3 linked regions of the Arabidopsis thaliana genome follow. The protein of the gene in region 1 interacts with the protein of each later gene in a pairwise test. Each region holds a gene or a part of one and is shown in the gene's direction. Other genes may lie near its edges.

Evidence for each region. Proteins that work in one complex are often made in the same cells at the same time.
Region 2: the proteins of HB-3 (region 1) and SHH2 interact in a two-hybrid assay, tested with the Arabidopsis thaliana proteins (one large-scale study listed by BioGRID).
Region 3: the proteins of HB-3 (region 1) and SLK2 interact in a two-hybrid assay, tested with the Arabidopsis thaliana proteins (one large-scale study listed by BioGRID).

The regions. Positions count from the first base shown.
Region 1 is NC_003071.7:14,339,206-14,346,446, reverse strand, and holds HB-3 (homeobox-3), read left to right. Parts: upstream 1-2,668; 5' UTR 2,669-2,849; coding exon 2,850-2,976; intron 2,977-3,061; coding exon 3,062-3,883; intron 3,884-4,192; coding exon 4,193-4,410; 3' UTR 4,411-4,802; coding exon of another isoform or gene 4,803-4,808; 3' UTR 4,809-5,025; downstream 5,026-7,241. UniProt on the Arabidopsis thaliana protein: Homeodomain transcription factor required for meristem growth and early development. Promotes cell proliferation and prevents premature differentiation in meristematic tissues during postembryonic development.
Region 2 is NC_003074.8:6,308,808-6,315,262, reverse strand, and holds SHH2 (DNA-BINDING TRANSCRIPTION FACTOR 2), read left to right. Parts: upstream 1-1,856; 5' UTR 1,857-2,081; coding exon 2,082-2,135; intron 2,136-2,487; coding exon 2,488-2,573; intron 2,574-2,669; coding exon 2,670-2,715; intron 2,716-2,814; coding exon 2,815-3,016; intron 3,017-3,181; coding exon 3,182-3,257; intron 3,258-3,373; coding exon 3,374-3,425; intron 3,426-3,508; coding exon 3,509-3,652; intron 3,653-3,736; coding exon 3,737-3,856; intron 3,857-3,991; coding exon 3,992-4,261; 3' UTR 4,262-4,544; downstream 4,545-6,455. Other genes in the region: EMB1865 (CRS1 / YhbY (CRM) domain-containing protein), read right to left, coding at 1-366, 771-1,691; ATSYTF (C2 domain-containing protein), read right to left, coding at 5,007-5,528, 5,619-5,747, 5,827-6,087, 6,178-6,396.
Region 3 is NC_003076.8:24,933,051-24,941,182, reverse strand, and holds SLK2 (SEUSS-like 2), read left to right. Parts: upstream 1-1,943; 5' UTR 1,944-2,263; exon of another isoform or gene 2,264-2,560; 5' UTR 2,561-2,642; coding exon 2,643-3,566; intron 3,567-3,661; coding exon 3,662-3,793; intron 3,794-3,904; coding exon 3,905-3,953; intron 3,954-4,059; coding exon 4,060-4,274; intron 4,275-4,360; coding exon 4,361-4,429; intron 4,430-4,520; coding exon 4,521-4,621; intron 4,622-4,810; coding exon 4,811-4,904; intron 4,905-4,987; coding exon 4,988-5,057; intron 5,058-5,165; coding exon 5,166-5,962; 3' UTR 5,963-6,221; downstream 6,222-8,132. Other genes in the region: BAG2 (BCL-2-associated athanogene 2), read right to left, coding at 1-70, 166-422, 526-706; AT5G62080 (Bifunctional inhibitor/lipid-transfer protein/seed storage 2S albumin superfamily protein), read left to right, coding at 6,783-7,056, 7,372-7,385. UniProt on the Arabidopsis thaliana protein: Probable transcription regulator that functions in the development of the carpel margin meristem similarly to SEUSS (SEU).

The DNA.
Region 1 (7,241 bases):
CTTGAAAAACTTATAGTACATCGAATTGTTTGTTGTTGTTTTTTTTTTCAATCAAAACGAATTGTTTATTGTTTCATAAGAATAGATGGAAATATAGATATTTAAATGGTTGCATTGATCGCCATTTTCTGATTCAGCCGAAGTTAAGCTGCAAAGGCCCGAGCACCAAAACAGCCTAAACATATATTTTATATTTTAATTTTAAGAACAAATAAAATACTACTATATCCACATAACTAAAATATCTTTATTTTTTTGCTTAAAAATAAGGCCATAAATTGTTTTGCTTTGGAATCCTTAATAATCTTGGACCAGTCCTTGGAACGAGACTTTGCAATGTTACTTACAGATCTAGTTAACACTGATAACCGCTTGTGTTAAATGGAGATGCCACATTTTGTTTTGATTTATTTGCATCCTATCACAAAGTTATGATTTATAAACTAAGACTGTTTAGCATTGTCCCATAGTCCCATTCAATAGTTAGTCTTTTAAATAAAGCTCACATTTAGTTTTTTTTTTTTGTCTGATAAAAAAGGCTCCATTTAGTTTATATTTGAAATAAATGCAGATGAAAAGAATCTTAATATTTCAAAAGAAACTGAAGAATTATTAATACGTTATTAAAGGGAACGATCATCAACAAAGACCCTCGAGTCAATCCAAAAAAAAATGACCTTAATTTCTTTGCAATTACTATACACCACCACCCATCCTGACCTCTTAAAATTTCGTATTTTCCCCATTAATACATGTTTCTTTTTTCCGTACTATTACATCACAAAACTCCTAAAATCGTGTTTGCTAATTTGATTATGACTATTCCTACGTCCAAACAAACCATTTGCTCCCCATCCGAATTTAAGGCCGATGCCCCGAAGGTGACCGAGAGAATCCTCTTCTGCACAGACTGAAAATCCAGAAACTACATGATTTTATTTTTTTGTAATACAAGCAAATAATAAAAACCCATCTTGTTATAGTTAATAAATAAACATAAAATGTGAGAAAATTTACAATCTTTCTGTCTTGTTTTAATTAATGTTTTTTTTTGAGATGTCAGAGGAGAAAATAATAAAAAGGAGAAAAAATCCTAGTTCAGAACCAAACATGGATCACTTTCAAAGAATCTGTTGTTTCAATTTCTGAAGAAATTTGTGTTCGTACGTTTGAACTGCAGAAGCAGTTTGGAGTTTAATGCAAGAAGTGTAAGGAAGTGAGGCATGGGGTTGCATTAATGATCACTTTGAGTTTCTTCCTGTCTCTTACTGTTTTCTATCTCAGAAATTGATATTAGGAATGTGAATAACAAAACAAACGAATGAAATACCATGCAAACTCTAATATGGATGTAGTAACAGAAAATCTGTATTGCTCTACTAATTAAATTTTTTAATTTAGTAATATGAATTCAGAGTCTATTAGTATAAACCTAAAGTAAACAGAAATTTTTGGAGTGCGCTTCAAATACCCTTGTAAAATTACAGATGACTTTGTATGGCAACTTTTTAAAATTGCTAAAATAATTTCTTATAATAAATATTGAATATTTTTAAATAATTCAGTACCCACTCTATAAATCTATATAACTAGTCTCTCTCTTTTTTTTTTTTTTTGGGCACATATAACTAGTCTCTCTATCAGTTATTTTCATATGGATTTTGGATTTTTTTGTACATATATGAAAAACACAAATGATAAAATTATTTAATGGTATTAAGCATTCGCCACAGGGTATGCTATCAATTTGGTCATTTGTGAGTGAGATTGATATGGTTTGGGGCTAATTCAGTGAAGCTCCTTCGGACTCTCAAAGTGGTTTATTAGACAGTGTGAATGCATGCGGTCTTCTATTTGTTTGCGAGGCTAAAAGAAACGCTCATGATACACAACTAATCAAATGACTGTTGAAGAAATTTAAGATTTCCAAAATTGTCTTCTTCTATTTGTTATTGAAGTATTGGTCAATCCATCAGTGATTTAACGTTATAGCAATATAGGCTACTCGTCGACTAGCACATTTTGACGTACTTAAATACTAACCTTGTCACTCTTTTTTTAATACTGTAATAATGCCTTTTGAATTTCCATTGGTGATATACACATTTTCCCACTAGATGACACTAAAGGGAACTAACCCCTAAAACAGTTTTTATTTTATCATAATTGAACCATGACAAGCAAAACTGGATTCAAATCTAAAATGTCAAAGTGCTCCTCATAATCTATATATAAGCGATCAAAGACCTTCTATAGAATTAATAAATTTACTTTTTAATGCAATTTTTTTTGTTCAAAACTATTTAATGCAAGTATGCAACTAAATCATACTGTTTGACTGAAGTAGTTAATAATAAAACGTAATGAAAACAGTGTTCCTATTTTCTTTTATAACATTTCTGTTAATAGGATTTAGCCTACTTCTCTAATTCATTTGATTCCCTAAACAAGAGAAGTAGTGATAGTTTTTTTTGTCTTTACTAAACATATACACATAATGATATAGATACACATCTATACATCATAGATAGATACATAGATATAGAGAGAAAGAGAAATGGTGTATAGAAATATGGGTGAGACTTTAAATTAAATTTATGTAAAAGAGATGAATGAATATATGAAAACAGGTTGGGTAGGTGAAGAGAGGCTATAAGAGGGAGAGAAAGAGGTCGTAACCCTTTTGCCCTATTCACATTTTTATTTATCTTTCCATTTAGCCATTCTGTTCCCTGTCTCTTCCTCCTCTCTTTTTGACACATCACATCATCATCACATCATCATTCAACATCAATCATCATCATATGCATACACATACATCTGTGTTCTGCGGATCGAGTTAATTAGTTATGGCTTCTTCGAATAGACACTGGCCAAGCATGTTCAAGTCCAAACCTCATCCCCATCAATGGCAACATGACATCAACTCTCCTCTCTTGCCTTCTGCTTCTCACCGATCTTCTCCTTTCTCTTCAGGTCCTTCTACTTCTACATATTTACCAATTCAAAACTAAATTTTGTTTTAAAGAACTCTTATCTGATGAGATTGTGAATTTTTTAGGATGTGAAGTGGAGAGGAGTCCAGAGCCAAAACCAAGATGGAATCCAAAGCCAGAGCAGATTCGGATACTTGAAGCAATCTTTAACTCCGGGATGGTGAATCCTCCAAGAGAGGAGATCAGGAGGATTAGGGCTCAGCTTCAAGAATACGGCCAAGTCGGTGATGCTAACGTCTTCTACTGGTTCCAAAACCGTAAGTCCCGTAGTAAACACAAACTCCGCCTCCTCCACAACCACTCCAAACACTCTCTCCCTCAAACGCAACCGCAGCCGCAGCCGCAACCTTCGGCTTCCTCTTCCTCTTCCTCCTCCTCTTCCTCCTCCAAATCCACCAAACCCCGAAAAAGCAAGAACAAGAACAACACTAATCTCTCTTTGGGTGGTAGTCAAATGATGGGGATGTTTCCACCGGAACCGGCGTTTCTCTTCCCGGTCTCCACTGTCGGAGGGTTTGAAGGTATCACCGTCTCATCCCAATTAGGGTTTCTCTCCGGTGATATGATTGAGCAACAAAAACCGGCTCCAACGTGTACCGGACTCCTGCTGAGTGAGATCATGAACGGTAGTGTGAGTTATGGAACTCATCATCAACAACACTTGAGTGAGAAAGAAGTTGAAGAAATGAGGATGAAGATGTTGCAACAGCCACAGACTCAGATTTGTTACGCTACCACTAATCATCAAATAGCTTCTTACAACAACAACAACAACAACAATAACATCATGCTTCATATTCCTCCCACTACTTCTACTGCCACCACTATTACTACTTCGCATTCTCTCGCTACTGTCCCATCAACTTCGGACCAGCTTCAAGTTCAAGGTAATGTTAATATATAAAGTTATCACCCTTTTTAAGTTATAGATTACTTATATACATGTTGAAATTTTACTCAATCGTAGAGATACATTAATTTTGTGTCAACAATGTAAGGGACACATTGATCCATACAAATCTTTTTTTAAAACCTTCATGTTTAGTAGCCTTTAGATGATTCTTTATTTCTATATACCCTCTCTCTCTTTCTTGAAAATAGATTGTGTGAGCTTTACAATTTTGTTTTATATAGATTGTTATAGTCATTATACTAACATGAAATAATGGGATAACAATGGCTAAATATGGATGCAGCGGACGCACGAATAAGAGTTTTCATCAATGAAATGGAGCTTGAAGTGAGCTCAGGACCGTTCAATGTGAGGGATGCATTTGGGGAAGAGGTTGTTCTGATTAATTCCGCGGGTCAGCCCATTGTCACCGATGAATATGGCGTCGCTCTTCACCCTCTTCAACACGGAGCCTCGTACTATCTGGTTTTGTTTCCTCTCTATTTTCCTTTGTTATACTAATTAAGGTTCCACTATAGCTAGATACTACTCTATCGGTTAAATAAACTATGGTAAAATGAATACTTATTTAATGTCTATATAATTATAGTTTATACATCTATATTAGTACTAGTTTATTTCTTCATTGGGATCTAAAATGGATAAATGCATGCGAGAGACATGTTGTTTGGCTTAGGTCAACAATGTTGACTCAATCTAATTTAATTACACACACACACCTTGCGCTTCTTTAGAGCATTCATTGGGGTTTTTTTTCTTTTTTTGGCCTTCGTGTATTTTGACTTTTGTAGTATAAATTCTAATACTACCATATTTCGGAGGATGTGCCTGCATGTGTGTGTATATAATTGTTTATGTGATTTAATTTCGAGGTCTCTTTTCTGCTTTTGCAGATCTAGTCGTGTGGGAGATTTGAGTTTGAAGAAGAAATTAAGACCTGTCTCTTTCTTTCACCATCTCTCGTACGTAGGCTTAAATGTTAAGATTTTATAAAGTATTGGTTTCAGTTACCTGTTGTGACGGTGTTTATGTATGAGTTTCGGACAACATTCACAAAACTCTCTCGTTAAATTGTTGACCAATAATATATGATGTGTGTTTCATTATTATCTAAAGAAATCTATAATGTTGTTCTGTTTCTTCTTCTTGAAAAATTGATTATATATGTGGAATTGTTAAACAATGCGCTAATATGGGGATGAGTAATGTAGAAGCATCACATCACCCAGTGTGAAAGTGAATTAGGTCATGCGTTATGTTTAGTGTTTAGACTGTGATGTAAGGTTTACATGCGGGAAGTAGGGAACTTTGACTACAGTTCACGTGTGAGGTGATATTTCACTTTAATCCCGGGGATTAAAACGTTACATTAATATAATTATTATACTACACCTAATCCATCCCCTCTTCAGAAATGCATTATTACACTAATATAATTATTAATTATAAATTATAGACGGTTCACTCATTTTTATATAAAAAATCAATAAATAAATATGTACTCTATCAAATATATTACCCTTTAAAATTAAAAATGTATGAAAATTCGATTTCAAAGATGATTTAGTTCTTTTAATATAAAAATGCGTCGAATGATGATAGTACGAAAAAAATAGTTTCAGTTATTTTAGATAAAATTAATTAGTAAATATTGCTTTGAACTACACAATGCATGGAATCAATTAAGTAATTTGTAATGCCAAAAACAAAACAATTCATTTATATTGAAATTATGCTAATTAACAATAGTTGATATTCATAGCCACGTTATGAATTTTTGTATAATCTGAATTCAGAGTTAATATATAATCTGAATATTTTTTCATCAAAAGAAAACAAATTTTTTTTATAAAATAAATAAGTAACGTATCAAAGTTAGGAAACAGAGTTTTTGACAGTCAGTTGATAAGATCCTTTGCTTTGAAGTTTTAACTCTCGATTCGATACTAATATTTTACCTTGTTGCAATGTAATATTTTTTTTCTTTTTCTTGCTGCAATGTTTATGGAGTATTCAAGGGAATTAAAGAGAATAAAACGCTGGTAAATAATTGTAGTTGAATGCAAAGAAGGTCTAGCTAGGTAGGGGCTTTGTTAGATCAAATCAGATGTCAAAAGAGCATAATAAAAATGTAATATCAAATCACACAAATGTTTCTCAATAAAAACATGGTCCTACAGTCCTACTTTCTACTGTTTGACTGTTTCCTTCATCTTGTCGCTTTAACGTTATCTTTACCCATGCTTATATTATTTTCTTTTATCTACAAAACAACATTTAATTTGCACCCATTTCCTTACTAAATATAATTATAATTAAAACTAGAAACCTAAACAATGTTCTCACATAGTTAATTTATCACCGCATTATTATTATTGATCATATAATAACTCATCATTTATAGTTTAGCACAATGCAACATATTACGTCTTAAAAATATGTGAAGTTAAGAATAAGTTATCATTAAGTTTGGACATCTGATTGTCCGTATAGACAACTTGTTGTCACTGTCTACGCTGCCGTGTGCACTTAATAGTTAAAAACCAACAAAATCTATGTATTGTAACAACTGGGGGGTAAAAAGCTATGTATAGTAACATAATAATATCATAACGGAACCAAATCGATATTGTTGTGTTTAAAAAGGAACTATTGGCCTTTTCCCCAATTAAAGTAGAAAATTACGATCGCAGTTTAGAAGTTATCACGAAAACAAATGAGATTAAAGAGTGTAAATAGAAATCTATGAAGTGACAAGAAAGAAAAAATAGAAAGCTAAGAGAAAGAGACAAACAAAAAAATAGGTTCAGAAGAGTGTTGACCAGAGGAACTGTGGATTCACCAACAAGTGGGACAAACTTTCTCTTACGTCCAAAACTGACACAACAGTATATTAACTCTTTCTCCTCATCATGATGAATCATATTCATATGACACTCACTCCATGTTCACTCTCTGCTCTCTCTCAATATATATTTCTTTTTCTATAGCCCAAGATGTTAATATTGATAAACCTATAATGATTTAGATCTCTTGTAATATAAGCGAGATGTTGCGAATGATAAGGATAAGATATATGAATCTACAACTAGATCTCATGTTGCAGTATCTTGTAGCCTTGCCTAGAGTCGTAGGTGAGACTCTAAAGAATTTTATGATTAAGAAAAAACAATTTTTATCATAAACTATACTGTAATAATATGAGGTCCTTTTCATTCAAAGTATATACTGGGATTACTATGTATAAACTTGGACAAGGCCAATATTAACATATCTAGCTTGAGTCTTCAAAAAATAAGAGATTCTTATTTTTCAATTTGTTAACCATATAA
Region 2 (6,455 bases), on another chromosome or scaffold:
TGTTTTATAACCAGGAATTGTAGGAGGTAGTAAGTCAGCGTCCACAGGTAGTACCCCAGTACCCCACCACTCTTGAAAACGTGGACCTAAGCTGTCTAATAGACTGTTAAATTCAACTTCTTCTTCTGTCATATTCTCTTTGCGAATAGGGTTCTTGATGATCGGATCTTTGATTACCAAAGGTGCACTTTGGTTATCTTTGGCATTTGTTGCTTCATCGCCAGCAGAAGATACATCTGGGACAAAAAGAGTCTCTTTAGGACCGGCCATTTGATTAGAGATCACAGGAGGTCCTTTATAGTCAAGTCCACGATAAACCACCATTACACTTCCGGCCCTCCATATCACCATTCCACCAGTTCGACGCTGCCCATTAGAGTAATTCAATCAGTTTTTTTTTAAACCTAAAGTTAAGACATGCATCTCCTGCACAGTCTTGTTACTCAAAGAATTCTAACAGCATGCTCAGCTCCATCCACTCTAGTTAATCAACACCTCAAATTCACCTTATTCACAACTATATAATCGTTCCCAAGAAAGATCTAACGTTTTTCACAAATTTCCTACTGTTATTATAAAAGCTTTATAACCATTCTATTTCAGAGCTTAGGTACTTCAGAGTCTCTTACTATCCTATAAAGATCATGTCACTTCCGCAAAGCTTATCCCCAATAGATAATGAAAACCGCTCTCTCTTGGAATAATCTCGCACCTCAAATTTCGCTAACCTACTGTTCTAATCAATGAAGTATTCAAGAGAACTAACGAACCTCAACAATCTCATGGGCCGTCTTCATGTCACGAGCAAGCACTTCGTGGAACTTTAGCCTCACAAGCTCTTCTTTCCTCCAAGTATCATAAATCTTCTCCATCACTGCCTGCGTTAGCCCAGCTTTTGGTATATTGATCCTAACCCTCAGATACATTCCATCCCTCCTTAACCGCCGTAACTCAGAATCCTCAACGGTGAGCTCCGCCAGTGATGGAGCTCTAGCTCTCCTCTTCTGCATCACCGCCACTCCTCCTTCTCCTACTACTCTCTCCGCCGCCTGCTCTTCCTCATTTTTCTCCCATGGCAATAATACCTCATCCTCTTCCTCACTCTCTTCTCCCTCAGCAAGCATCATATCAGGTCTCACCCACTCTCTCTTCAACAAATCCCCCAATCTCTCTTCTCCAGTCACCGGCTTCACATCTCCGCCGTTAATTCCACCTCCCTCGTCATCTTCCACATCGTCCTCATCATCCGAACCTAATCCTAAATTCCGTAGCCGAAGAACAATCCTCTCAATCGCGTTTTGTCCTTTATCCTTCTCCAAATACCGAAGTTTCGCTTCCGCTTCCTCCTCCGCAGACCGAATTCTATCTCCGCCGTTGTTTTCACCACCTTTCTTCCCGGCATGATCACCGCCAGCTCCGGAGGATGACGGAGGCCACTTATCTATCCAAGGAGGAGTAGGTTTATGATTACGTTGATCTAATCGACGATTGTTATTGCTCCTGTTGTTGCTACGCTCGCTTGTACGCAGCGAAGAGAATGGCCGAACAATTTGTTGACGCGAGGGTTTCACACCCAACGAATAGAAGAGCAATGCGTGAAGCGAAGGAGAGGAACAATAGCGAGAGCTAGAGGTCAGAGGAAGAGAGCTTCTCAGTGGCATTTCCGTAAAATTAAGTGGAGCCAAAGCCATTGACGACACTAAGAAATTTTTTTGGAAAAAAAAGCTTCAGCGAAGTGTCTTCTTCGCCATCGTTTTGGATACTGAGAAATAAGTTTCAGGCGGATAAGCTGGATTTACTCGACCATACGGATAAGATTTTTGTATCGGTTTTAGGAAAATGGGCCTTTAATGGGTTTTAAAAGCCCATTACTACATGTTAAGTTTAAAAAAATTACACAGGTGAAAAGTTATATAAGCGACGGAGTCGGGTCTGAGTAAAACCGGTTTCGTTGTCGTTGGGTCACCGGCCGTACTAGAGAGATTCACCGTGAATTCGAATATTAAGTGAGAGAAGCTCCGATTGATTTCACTTTCTGCCGCCAATTTTTGTTTTTTCTTCGGTGAGACGAAGAAGATACCATGGGTCGACCTCCCAGTAATGGCGGTCCGGCGTTTCGATTTATCCTGCCTGAGGTTTATCTCGATTCTTTGTAATGTGTTGCTTTCACGGATTTTGAGCTCCCAGAGCTGAAAAATCTGATTTTTGTGTCGGTTTTGTTCCTTAGGATTTAGGTCTTCTTTTTGGGTTCATGATAGGGTTTAGATCCTGAAGTCCAATTGAATTTTTGTAATTAGCTAGTAGAAACTTGAAGACAATTCGATGTATGTTCTGAAATCCATTGGCTTTACTTTATTAAGTAATGTTTAAGAGTTTAGATTTGATAATACATAAGTTTTTCTATCTATCTGTTGTTCTATGGTTTTGTGACTTCTTTTGAAGAGGTTTTATCTTGTTTGTTATAGCTAATCTTCAATTGTTATGAAGGTAACGGAGATGGAAGCAATTTTGCTACAGCATAATACAGCAATGCCAGGTCGACATATTCTTGAAGCTCTTGCTGATAAGTTTAGGTATTTTACTTGTTGTTGCTCAATTCCTTGGCCTGAAAGTGATTTTGTGTCTTTATCATCTAAAATGTGGTTACTTTTTGTTATCTGTTGTCTCAGTGAATCACCTGAGCGGAAGGGGAAAGTTGTTGTGCAGTTCAAGCAAGTACTGGCTTTTTCCTTCTTGATTCTTAAGTTTTATCAGACAGAGTCTGTTGGGTTTGCTTTTAAAAGTTAATGGGAATGTTGTTTTAATGCATCACAGATCTGGAACTGGTTTCAAAATAGGCGATATGCTTTACGAGCAAGGGGAAACAAAGCTCCTGGGAAGCTAAATGTATCTTCCATGCCGCGTATGGATTTACCAAATCAGATGAGAAGTGTGATTCAACCATTATCAGTTCCTAAAACCACTCATATGACTGGAAATTTACCCGGCATGACGCCTGCCCCTTCTGGTAGTTTAGGTGCTTTATTTATTCTACTCTCAGTAAAATAGGTTGAGAAGGTTATTTATTGGAATAGGTTTCATTGGTTTTTTCAGTTTTAGTTTTTTCTCCATAAGTCTAGATCAGTATGGCTGATATTGCACAGATGCCATTTTCGTAACTGTTTACTGCTTTTCCTCATAGTTCCCGGTGTCATGAGGAGTGGTTCAGACAACTCTTACTTGGAATTTGAAGCCAAATCTGCCAGGGATGGTGCATGGTGATTCCCTTGCATTCAATCTTCAGTATTTTTTTTGCTGACTTATGATACTTTGTAACAATATCATTACATTCCACTGGTTTTCTCTGATATGTAACTCTCTTGCTTACTTACAGGTATGATGTGCAAGCTTTCCTAGCTCATAGAAACTTGGAGATTGGTGATCCGGTAATTCCTAACCAACCTCTTGTTGACTTATTTGTTCCCCTTTTTTGTTTTGCTAACAACAATCTTTCTGTTGGGTATTTCAGGAAGTGCAGGTTCGATTTGCGGGTTTCGAAGTTGAAGAAGATGAATGGATAAATGTCAAAAAGCATGTAAGACAACGGTCTCTCCCATGTGAAGCATCAGAATGTGTTGCAGTTCTTGCTGGAGATCTCGTCCTTTGTTTCCAGGTTTAGAACTTCGCTCTCTAAGCATTTAGTGATAGGTGTCATGTTAGTTTATCCCTGACTAGAACTATGTTATAACATCTTCAGGAAGGAAAAGATCAAGCTCTTTACTTTGACGCCATTGTTCTTGACGCACAGAGAAGAAGACATGATGTCAGAGGTTGTCGTTGTAGGTTCTTGGTGCGTTACAGCCACGACCAGTCCGAGGTTGGACGATCATCTCTCTCTCTCTCTCTCTATCCCTTGCGGTTTTATTTACCCGTCAGCTCCATTTCATGGTTTAGACCATAAAGCAAAACCCTCCTCACTCACCTATTTTGGATTTCTTTTCCGTTATCCCAGCAGGAAATCGTTCCCTTGAGGAAGATTTGTCGGCGGCCCGAGACAGATTACAGGCTACAACAACTTCACAACGCCGTAAACGATTTGGCTAACTCAAATCAGCATCAGATACCCGCTCTAGATGCGGCTGCAAAAACCCCTCTGTCACTACCCGGAGCTACAGTTCCCATTGTTGCACCCGAGTCAAAAGATCCGAGCCTGAGTGCCACTCCAGCCACTTTGGTTCAGCCTAGCTCCAATGCAGCTACTGTTCCCGCTGGTTCAGCCTAGGCCATGTAATTTCTATCCCCGTTTGTAACAGCCATTTTTCACAGTTACTAGTAGAGGTTAACTTGGGATCATATGCATTGTACTCTCACACAATGAATTAGTCATCTAAAGCTGTATCATGCCATGTTACTTGATCCTTCATGTATGATGGAATATTTATGGTTTAGTCCGGTTTATTCATCATCTGTTGATGGTCACCGGTTTTTTACTCTTTTGAACAAACATGCTCGAATCATGTGGATTTATTCTTTTCAAGGCTTAAGTTTACAAGTTAGGAATCTTACCTCGAGTCATTTAGCTTTACAACATTTGTGGGGATGAGAAATTAACCAATTATTAATCTGAAAAATATCTCACTGTGCTGAGGAGACTAGATAACACTTGAGGTCAAAAGAACTATTTTGCTTCTGTAAATGACTGATCAGCCTAGACACAGAACAACAGTTTTACAAACAATTACAACAGTTTTTATTGTTACAGAATAACAAAGGGAATAATAAGAAACTTACAGATTTGATATGTTACATATCATATGTATCTAACTTTGTAACAAGGGCTCAACTCTCTCTGAACATTTTATCCAATGCCCCTACATATCTATCTATATACATCATAGATGATTGTTTGATCGGGAAAAACAAGTGACTACATTGGTGCGGGTAATCTCCGGTTATAGGAGGATCCTGTCCCCGAACCCGAGCCTGATCGAGATGGGGAATGAGACGGGGCTTGAACTGGGGACGAGTTAAGAATCTCGAGACGGGGCTTGAGCTGGGGATGAGTTAAGAATCTCCTTACCAAGGTCTTTGATCTTGTTGATAAGCAGCGATTGCTCTGTCTGAAGCTGGAGCAAATACTGTTCTTGTTCGTCCTCCAAACTTTCCAGCTCTTCTAAAGCTTCAGCAAGACCTTCAAGATCTCCATCGTCAATCAAATTCTGAAACTTTATCATCACCTGCTTCATCTGGTTGGACAGTAACAGAGCTTTGTTAAACGGTGTGCCAGGACCTGCGCTGGCGCGTCTCTGAATCTCCGTGACTTTCCTCGTGACTCTGACATGGACCTCCCCGTGTTTCACTCCTTGGAGAATTATCCACTTATCGGCAGTCTCATTTGGCTTTAACCCTTGGTACTCCACAACGCAGTTACCGATGCTTGAAGTCGGAAGCAGAGTGTTATAGTCTTTCACATGTAGCTCCAAGGAGCTCCCATCATCTGGAAACTCCATTGTCTGGTTCCATTTTGGTTGCAACGTCTTATAAATCACCTGAAAACAACAATCACACGAGAAAAAAGCCATCTGTAAGTTTTGTTTTCTTTATGAAGTCTTTTTGGTCCAAAACAGTTTCTATAATACCTTTGTCCTCTGTTTCTTCTCTCCATATTGAACCCTAACATAAGGATCACTGGTTCCTCTAATATCCGCGGCCACAAGATCCCGCGCTTCAACGAGAACCAATTCAATCAAGCCTTTACTAGAATCCGCCTGCGATCAAGCCAGAAAAAAACATCAATGAGGAAAAACAAAGAAACAGAGTGATGTTTGTTTTCCTCAAAACACTTACTTCGCTGTACTCGGGATCCAAAGCTTCGATCAAAAGCTCTATTTCTCCAGAATTAACATCTTCAAGCGGAACCCATATATGCATTTCGCTGTTATTGATTCCTTGAAGACTCAATGTAGCTGTACCGATGTTGTCCGTGCCAAGCATCTCTTCTCTATAGCATTTCACCTTTAAATATTCTTCTCCGGCTAACTCTTCGAACTCAAATTTCTGGTTCCACACACACTCTGCTGCGTTCACTATCTTCGTCTTTTGTATAATCTACAAACCATTCAAGCACATGCCAACCTCTTAAGATTTTAAGATCGTGCAATAGCCATTTTGAAGCAAAATCATGAAGAGAGTACTTACTTTTCCGTACTGTAACTTGACAGAGGCATCACATTTTCCGGACTTATCTTTAGAAACAAGGTTCTTTCCAGCCAAAACCGTCACGATAATTTTCCGGCCGGTTTTCGAGAGGAGGGCAGACGAGCTGTCGAGGGAGTGTAATGAACTCGAATTAACGCTATTCAAGCTATGTGAGCCATCAGAGAAGTGCCATTCTTTTAGAAGTAGCCGGACAGTCAACTAAAAGACCAAAAACACACACATAAAAGTGGTCAAAAACTCAAAATCATAAAAGAGTA
Region 3 (8,132 bases), on another chromosome or scaffold:
CCATCAAATTCTCAAGATTCTTCTCTTCAACTTTCCCTCCTTTACCAATCACTGTATCAAACGCCGACAGCTAAAGTCCAAAAACCAAAAAAAACAATTCTGATTCAAGTTACGAGACAAGAGCGTTGTTATCCGGAAAATTTAAAATTATGTTTCTTAAGTTACTTGTCCGGCGAGTCTTTCGACTTGGAAACTAATATCAGAGATTGCTTTAGATGATTTCTCTTTGGTGGCGATTTTCCTCAACTCAAGGAGACGTTTCTCCTGAGAAATGGGATCTTCTATAAGAATAAGTTTCGAACGATCTTTGACACCAGAAAGATCAAGAAACATCTTTGAGTCTCTTTCTTTGTCTTTGTATATAATCTGCATGTCTTGATGATGAACTCCTGTCGCACCAGACAATATCTTCTTTAATTCCCCTGTTGTTAAATTCAACAACAACAACAATCAAATTCCAAAAACAGAGCATACTAATAGTATAAAGGAAATACTGTATAACTCGGAATGTTTTGTGTCGTTTACCGAAAGTAGATTGAGAGTTGATACTGATCTCGTGATGGACCGACCCGTATTTGACCCGAACCCGAATGCCACGTGGCACGCTTGAGCTATGATCCGTCCTTTTCTGTACAACCATTCCTCCAGGTCGGAGCTCCATTTCACCGTCGCCGGAAGTTGTTGTTCCGATACTCATTTTCATCATTTTCTTTATTAAGAGAGATAGAGAGAAAAAAACAGAGGAATGATGAGATGAAGTTGATTTCTGAAAAAGATCAAGAAGAAGAAGAAGAAAAAAGAAACGTCTGAGCAAAGAGAAGTAAATACACTTTGTTTTGTAATAAATTAATGTTTCTGTTTCTGGACAGAACTCGTGGAAGAAGAAGAAAGATAAGAATCATATAAAGCAGATTATTGTTTTATAAAATTTTATACAATGAGAAAAAAAAGTTAAAGAAAAGAGTGACAGCTAATGTGATTGTTGTTATGTCTCATTATCAGTCCATCACAGATACATATATTTAATATAAATGTTGTATCCCCCACATATTTATTTCTATTTCTGATAAATAATGACGATATATTAATGTCGTTGTTACATTTATATTTATTTGTCATCGTTCTTCTGTATTTTATAAGTCGTGTTCTACGTTTCTAAGTACAGGTAAGCTAATGAAATAACTGAAACAGAAACTTGTGTTACACGTCACGCCTTTAACTCCGACAAACTCTGCAACTTAAAAATCTCTCTTTCTTGCAGATCCACATTGTCTAGAATTATCGTCGGTGTTGTGTGTCTTCTTGCCAAGTTTTGAATGATCCATGGACCGTACGGACCACACACGAGCTTTCTTTGATCATTTCTTGAACAAGCTAGTGCTTTAGAGACAGAGACACCGGTTAGGTTTGACCTCAAGACTGTTCGAGAACAGAGCTTTGAACGGTTGGAGAACAGAGTATAATTATTTATGGGCTAATAATGGGCCTAAAAATACTGAAATAGGCCTGTTGGGTCGTAGCTCCATATAGTTGGATGATCTTGTCGAAATATTTTAGGGGTTGAATTGTCAAAGGGAGTAATATTGGGGTCAATAAGTAATCATGCAAAAAAGAGGATATTTGTCGTAAGCCCACTCATTTACAGCTGCAATCATTGGTACAGTTATTACAAAAAAATAAAATAAAAAACATAATTTGGTCAATCAACTTTAAACTACACGCGTCGCACACGATCCATGCTCTCAATCGAACGATCCACAATTGATTTAACTTTATTGATCGCAAGGTCAAGAATATGCCACGCAATCAAAACAGCTAAAGGTTACCAATCGGTCATACGATACTTGTTACGATAAACAAGACACGTGTCAGTATTGACTAGCGGGTAATAAAAAGTACTTGCAAAACCATAAGCAGATGGGTCACCGGCTTGTCCGGTCAGATTTGGTTCTTACGATTTCCTCTAGGTATATTAACAAAGGCGCGTCAAGTTCATTGCCTAGTTCCAGCTCTCTCCAGGATTTTCCTTTTTTTTATGCAAAAACAACAAACACAAAATAAATAAGAAGATTGTTTATTTTAACTTTATATTACAGCTTGAAATTTCCAGGCAAATTTTTTTCCTTCTTCTTCTTCTTCTTCTTGTCTCATTAATTATCTTCCTCTTCTTCTGTTTCAATTCAGCTGGGTTTAGTTTTAATTTCTAGTTGTGATCTCTCAGCTTTTGTTCTATATTGATCGAAGCTCCACTTAACAGTTCTTCGTACGTTGTTTCCGTGTTCTTCGCTTTTTTATTTTGTAATTTAATTTCGGTTGCTTTTTAAATATCTAACTCCGAGATTTTTAAGGGATTGCTATCTATTTTTTTTTTTTTTGGGGATTGGTTAGTTTCTCGGTTAGTTATGTTAAGTAACGAACTTTAAAATTAGGGTTTTGATTTGGTTTTTTTTTTATTTCAGTGGTTAAGTTCAATGTCTGTGTATCTTTAATAACGCACCAGATTCATGTGTTAGGGAATGTTATTGATCTGATTTTAATCGATACATGTATAATGTTGTAGGTATCAGTAGTAAAGGTGGGACATTTGTGTCGCATTGAGGAAGAAACTTTGGATTTCAGACTCACTTGGGACCTACCCTTTAATGGCTTCTTCAACTTCTGGGATTTTCTTTCAAGGAGATGATGAATCTCAAAGCTTCATTAACTCTCACTTGACTTCCTCTTATGGGAATTCATCTAACTCTGCTCCTGGATGTGGTGGACCTACTGGTGGCTATCACAATCTCAGTATGGTTTCTGGTGATATGCATAATCCGGTTATGATGAGTGTTTCAACACCCGGTCCAAGCGCAGGAGCTAGTTCGCTTGTCACAGATGCTAATTCAGGGCTCTCTGGAGGTGGTCCTCATTTGCAGCGTAGTGCTAGTATCAATAATGAGTCATATATGCGTTTACCGGCGTCTCCTATGTCGTTCTCTTCTAATAATATCAGCATATCTGGTTCATCAGTTGTAGATGGGTCGACTGTGGTACAACGGCATGATCCTAGTGTTCAGCTAGGTGGCTCTAGTGCTACATCACTGCCTACATCACAAACTAATCAAATCCCGCTTTCTATGGCTCGGCGTGCTTCTGAATCGTTCTTTCAGGATCCAAACAACTTAACTCAAGCACGGAAAAAACCTAGATTAGATTCAAAGCAGGATGATGCTTTGCAGCAGCAGATTTTACGTCAGTGGCTTCAGAGACAGGATATATTGCAGCAGCAGCAGCAACAACAACAACAAGGCCAAAATCCACAGTTCCAAATCTTGCTTCAGCAACAAAAGCTGAGGCAACAGCAACAATATCTCCAGTCCCTCCCACCATTGCAACGGGTTCAACTGCAGCAGCAGCAACAAGTGCAGCAACAGCAACAGTTGCAGCAGCAGCACCAACAGCAACAGCAACAGTTGCAACAACAAGGAATGCAAATGCAACTAACCGGTGGGCCAAGACCTTATGAAAATAGCGTTTGCGCTCGAAGATTGATGCAGTACCTATATCATCAGCGACAAAGGCCTTCTGTGAGTGTGCATGTAGTCGTCAAATTTTTTGTTTTATGTGTATTCTAGAAAAAAGCTCTTGACAGATACCAGTCGTGTCATTGCTGATTTTGTAGGAGAGCAGTATTGTTTACTGGAGGAAATTTGTGACGGAGTATTTTTCTCCCCGGGCAAAGAAAAGATGGTGTCTTTCTCATTATGATAATGTGGGGCATAGTGCACTTGGTGTTTCTCCTCAGGCAGCCACGGTTTGTTTCCCTGACTCTTTGTTTTTTTTGGTTTCATACTCTTTATGCTGATCTTACGGTGTAGTTACAAATAGGTTACTTATTCTTGCTTTTTGTATTTTCCATTTGCAGGATGAATGGCAGTGTGATCTATGTGGTTCTAAATCGGGAAGAGGATTTGGTAAGTTCCAATTTGCTTATACCCTGATGAAGAAGAGGGAAATTTCAAAAATGTTTATGGTAGCAAAACATCTTCTCTTAGTAACTTTTTCTTATGGATTCTGCAGAAGCAACTTTTGATGTCTTGCCAAGGCTTAACGAAATCAAATTCGCAAGTGGTGTCCTGGACGAGCTTCTTTATCTGGGTGTACCGTCTGAACGCAGATATGGATCTGGAATTATGGTGTTAGAGTATGGAAAAGCAGTTCAGGAGAGTGTGTACGAACATATCCGTGTTGTTCGCGAAGGCCATCTTCGGATTATATTCTCCCAAGAGCTGAAGGTGGTTTAAAGAGCTTTTGATTCCAAATACTTTTAATCATTAATGTGTATTAAAGTAACTTAGCTTATCCTTTTTCCTTTTGCCAGATTCTCTCATGGGAGTTCTGTACTCGTCGACATGAAGAACTACTTCCTCGTCGCCTAGTAGCTCCACAGGTAACATTAATGGTTCTTACAATCTTTGTGACTCTTTTTGAAATCCCTGGTCTTGAGATTTTTTGAATGTCTGCTCCCTATGGTCGTGCAGGTGAACCAATTGCTTCAGGTTGCAGAGAAATGTCAGAGCACAATTGATCAAAGTGGATCAGATGGGATTCATCAACAAGATTTGCAAGCTAATAGCAACATGTGAGTCTTGATGATTCTAGACAATATTTCACTCTCTTTCTTCCATATTTCTCAATCAATTCAATTTCATTGTTTCTTGCATCTTGTACGGTAATTAGGTAAGATTTTTCACTGATGCAAAGAAGATCAAAGCGATTTTAGCTTAATATATACAAATATGATGTACTGATGCCAAGTCTTTTGCTCCAGGGTCATGGCTGCTGGACGTCAACTAGCAAAAAGCTTGGAGTCACATTCACTCAATGACTTAGGCTTCTCAAAACGATATGTTCGGTGTCTGCAGGTATCTCTCTGCCTACTTTCTTGCATTTTCCTGGTGGCGTGTCTCCTTTTTACTGTTTAACTCTTGCCATCTTCTTTAAACAGATTTCTGAGGTTGTCAGCAGCATGAAAGATATGATTGACTTTTGCCGTGACCAAAAAGTGGGTCCAATCGGTAAGTTAATACATAAATCCCAGAGAGTCCCTGAGATTCATCAAAACGCTTTTTTTTTACTTGGCTGTGCTTATAAAAAGCTTTCTTGCTACCTTTTAACATTTGCAGAGGCTTTGAAGAGCTATCCATATCGAATGAAGGCTGGTAAACCTCAGATGCAGGAGATGGAGCAACTAGCGGCTGCCCGAGGGCTTCCACCTGATAGGAACAGTCTCAACAAGCTAATGGCCTTGCGCAATTCCGGGATAAACATACCAATGAACAACATGAGCGGTCAAGGATCTCTTCCCGGCTCTGCACAAGCTGCCGCTTTTGCGCTTACCAACTACCAGAGCATGCTCATGAAACAAAACCATCTGAATTCAGACCTAAACAACACCACAATCCAGCAAGAACCATCAAGAAACCGGAGTGCATCCCCGAGCTATCAAGGAACTAGTCCCTTGTTACCTGGTTTTGTGCATAGCCCATCAATAAGTGGTGTATCTTCCCATCTATCTCCTCAGCGGCAAATGCCAAGCTCCAGTTATAATGGCTCAACCCAGCAATACCACCAACAGCCACCTTCCTGTAGTAGCGGTAACCAAACATTGGAACAACAAATGATTCATCAAATATGGCAACAGATGGCAAACAGCAATGGAGGCTCCGGTCAACAACAACAGTCACTTTCTGGTCAGAACATGATGAATTGCAATACCAACATGGGAAGAAACAGAACAGATTATGTTCCCGCAGCAGCTGAAACACCAAGCACCTCCAACAGATTCAGAGGCATCAAGGGGTTAGACCAAAGCCAAAACCTGGAAGGTATTATCTCTAATACATCGCTCAACTTTGGGAATAACGGGGTTTTTAGCAATGAGGTTGATGAAAGCATGGGAGGATATTCTTGGAAGTCATGAGAGGCATTTTGATAGTTAGCTCCAATGTTGTCTTTGTAAAGAACGAGTTACTAAAGACTAACTTTCTTAGGTATATGAATCTGATGAGGGGGATTCAATGTTAACGTGTCTACTGTGTTGTTGTTCTTTCTTCTTCTTAGATTAAAGCTTCTCTTTTTATGAAGAGGTTTTTCTGGAAAGTGTTACTAATTCTGGAAAAGAAAAAAGACTGTTCTTCAGGAACTCATCGCTATCAATCAATATTTTACCTTTTTTCTTATGACTTTTTTTAAGCCTCGTTTATTTAAAGCTGATACAGTTACAAACATCGGTAACACGTCACAAACAAGCCAGACACATGCTATTTTTTTCTCTGAAATTTTAATAAAATGTATTTGTGACGTGATTTTAAATCATACAAAATTCCACAAATACGGATATGTAATCTTCATCTACTTGCACTAATACAGTAATACTTTTCATCTTCAATATACCAACCATCCTACTATCTACAAGAGATAATTTGTCAACTCCTTTTACCATAGTTAATTTCATATATTACATAATTTTGTATATGAAATATTTTTGCTTTGCACTAAAGAATAAAATAAATAAATAAAAAAACCTTGCACTCAGCGTGGTGGATAGAGAACAGAGTGATTTACTTTCACATGTAAATCTTGTGAACTAACTAGACCATGTGACCATGCCAAACGTCTCCTCAACTCATCTAATTAATCACTCAAAATATACACTCAAAACATTATATAAATGATAAATCTAAACATATGATATCATATACATAGAACTACATCAGATATCTATAGAAACAAACTTATCCATGGCAATAATGGCATCGTTCAAGTCTTTCGCAGCCGTTCTCAGTGTCCTTTTTCTTGCCATGACTGCTATAGAAACGGTAGTTCAAGCCCAAGAATGTGGCAACGATCTAGCAAATGTGCAGGTATGCGCCGCCATGGTGCTGCCCGGTTCAGGCAGACCAAATTCAGAGTGTTGCGCCGCACTTCAATCTACTAATAGAGATTGTCTATGCAACGCTCTCCGTGCAGCCACCTCTCTTCCTTCGCTTTGTAACCTTCCTCCTGTGGATTGTGGTACGGATTTATTTACTTTTAACCAAGAAGTTTGATATTTGGCTCGTTATCCCAAGATGAGGATGAATAAAACAAATCTCAATATATATTTAGTTTTAGTTACCAACATTTTAGACTTGGCCTAATATATGGCCAAACCAAAAAGACTTGGCCTAAGATTCCAAGTAGATTAAGTAGGATAAAACCTCATATATCAGCTCTAGCTAACTCGGCTAATGTAGTAATGTGTTTATTTAATGATATATAGACCTCTATTTCATATCTGTTTCTGAGGTTTTTTTGTTTTTTTGTTTGTTTTGTTTTTGGGTTGTGCAGGTATAAATGCTTAGTTAAGCTACGAGTCAATTCCAAGATGATCAAGGAAAACGGGAAAATAAAGAATAATGAGAAATATTCCAGTCTTATGTTTTTTCTTCTAACTTCTGCTTTACTATAATAAAGTTCTAGTAGTTTTGCTTAGAAATTTAGATACTACTAGTATAATAAAAAGCTTTGATAATTATGAGAATAAAACATTCCCGGTCTGAAACCAAATTATTCTTAAACATGTACGTACGTAAGTCTAGACATCAGAAATAAATTAGATTAGTGACTTGTTTAATATGCATGGAAAATCATGTTAGTTTTCATTGTTGCCAAGCTAACAATGTTTGTTTAAAAGCTAGAAAGTCTAAAAATTGCACCTGACCCCTCTAGTGCTTGTTGCTGAATACGACTTGAGGAGGATAGTATTTATTAGTGGTTATAGACGATCGTTATCACAGCTAGTCTTTATTTTCGAATGTTCCCTATTTGTTTTCCTTTTTCGTAGACTTACTTCTAAACTGCATCCTACTGAACAGTAAAATATAGATAACTAAACAAATAGATAGATGAATAAACGAAGAAAACAACACCTTTCAAAATCGAGGGGTTAATCTAGCTAGTGATTAACAACTTCTCTTTATAGAATTTGAAGTACAAGAAGAATTTGAATTGTGCCACCAGAATAACAACCTATGTAACATTTGTATGGCCTGGATAAAAGATAAACACCTATCATCCACACAAAATATATTTCTGATTTCAAAAACATA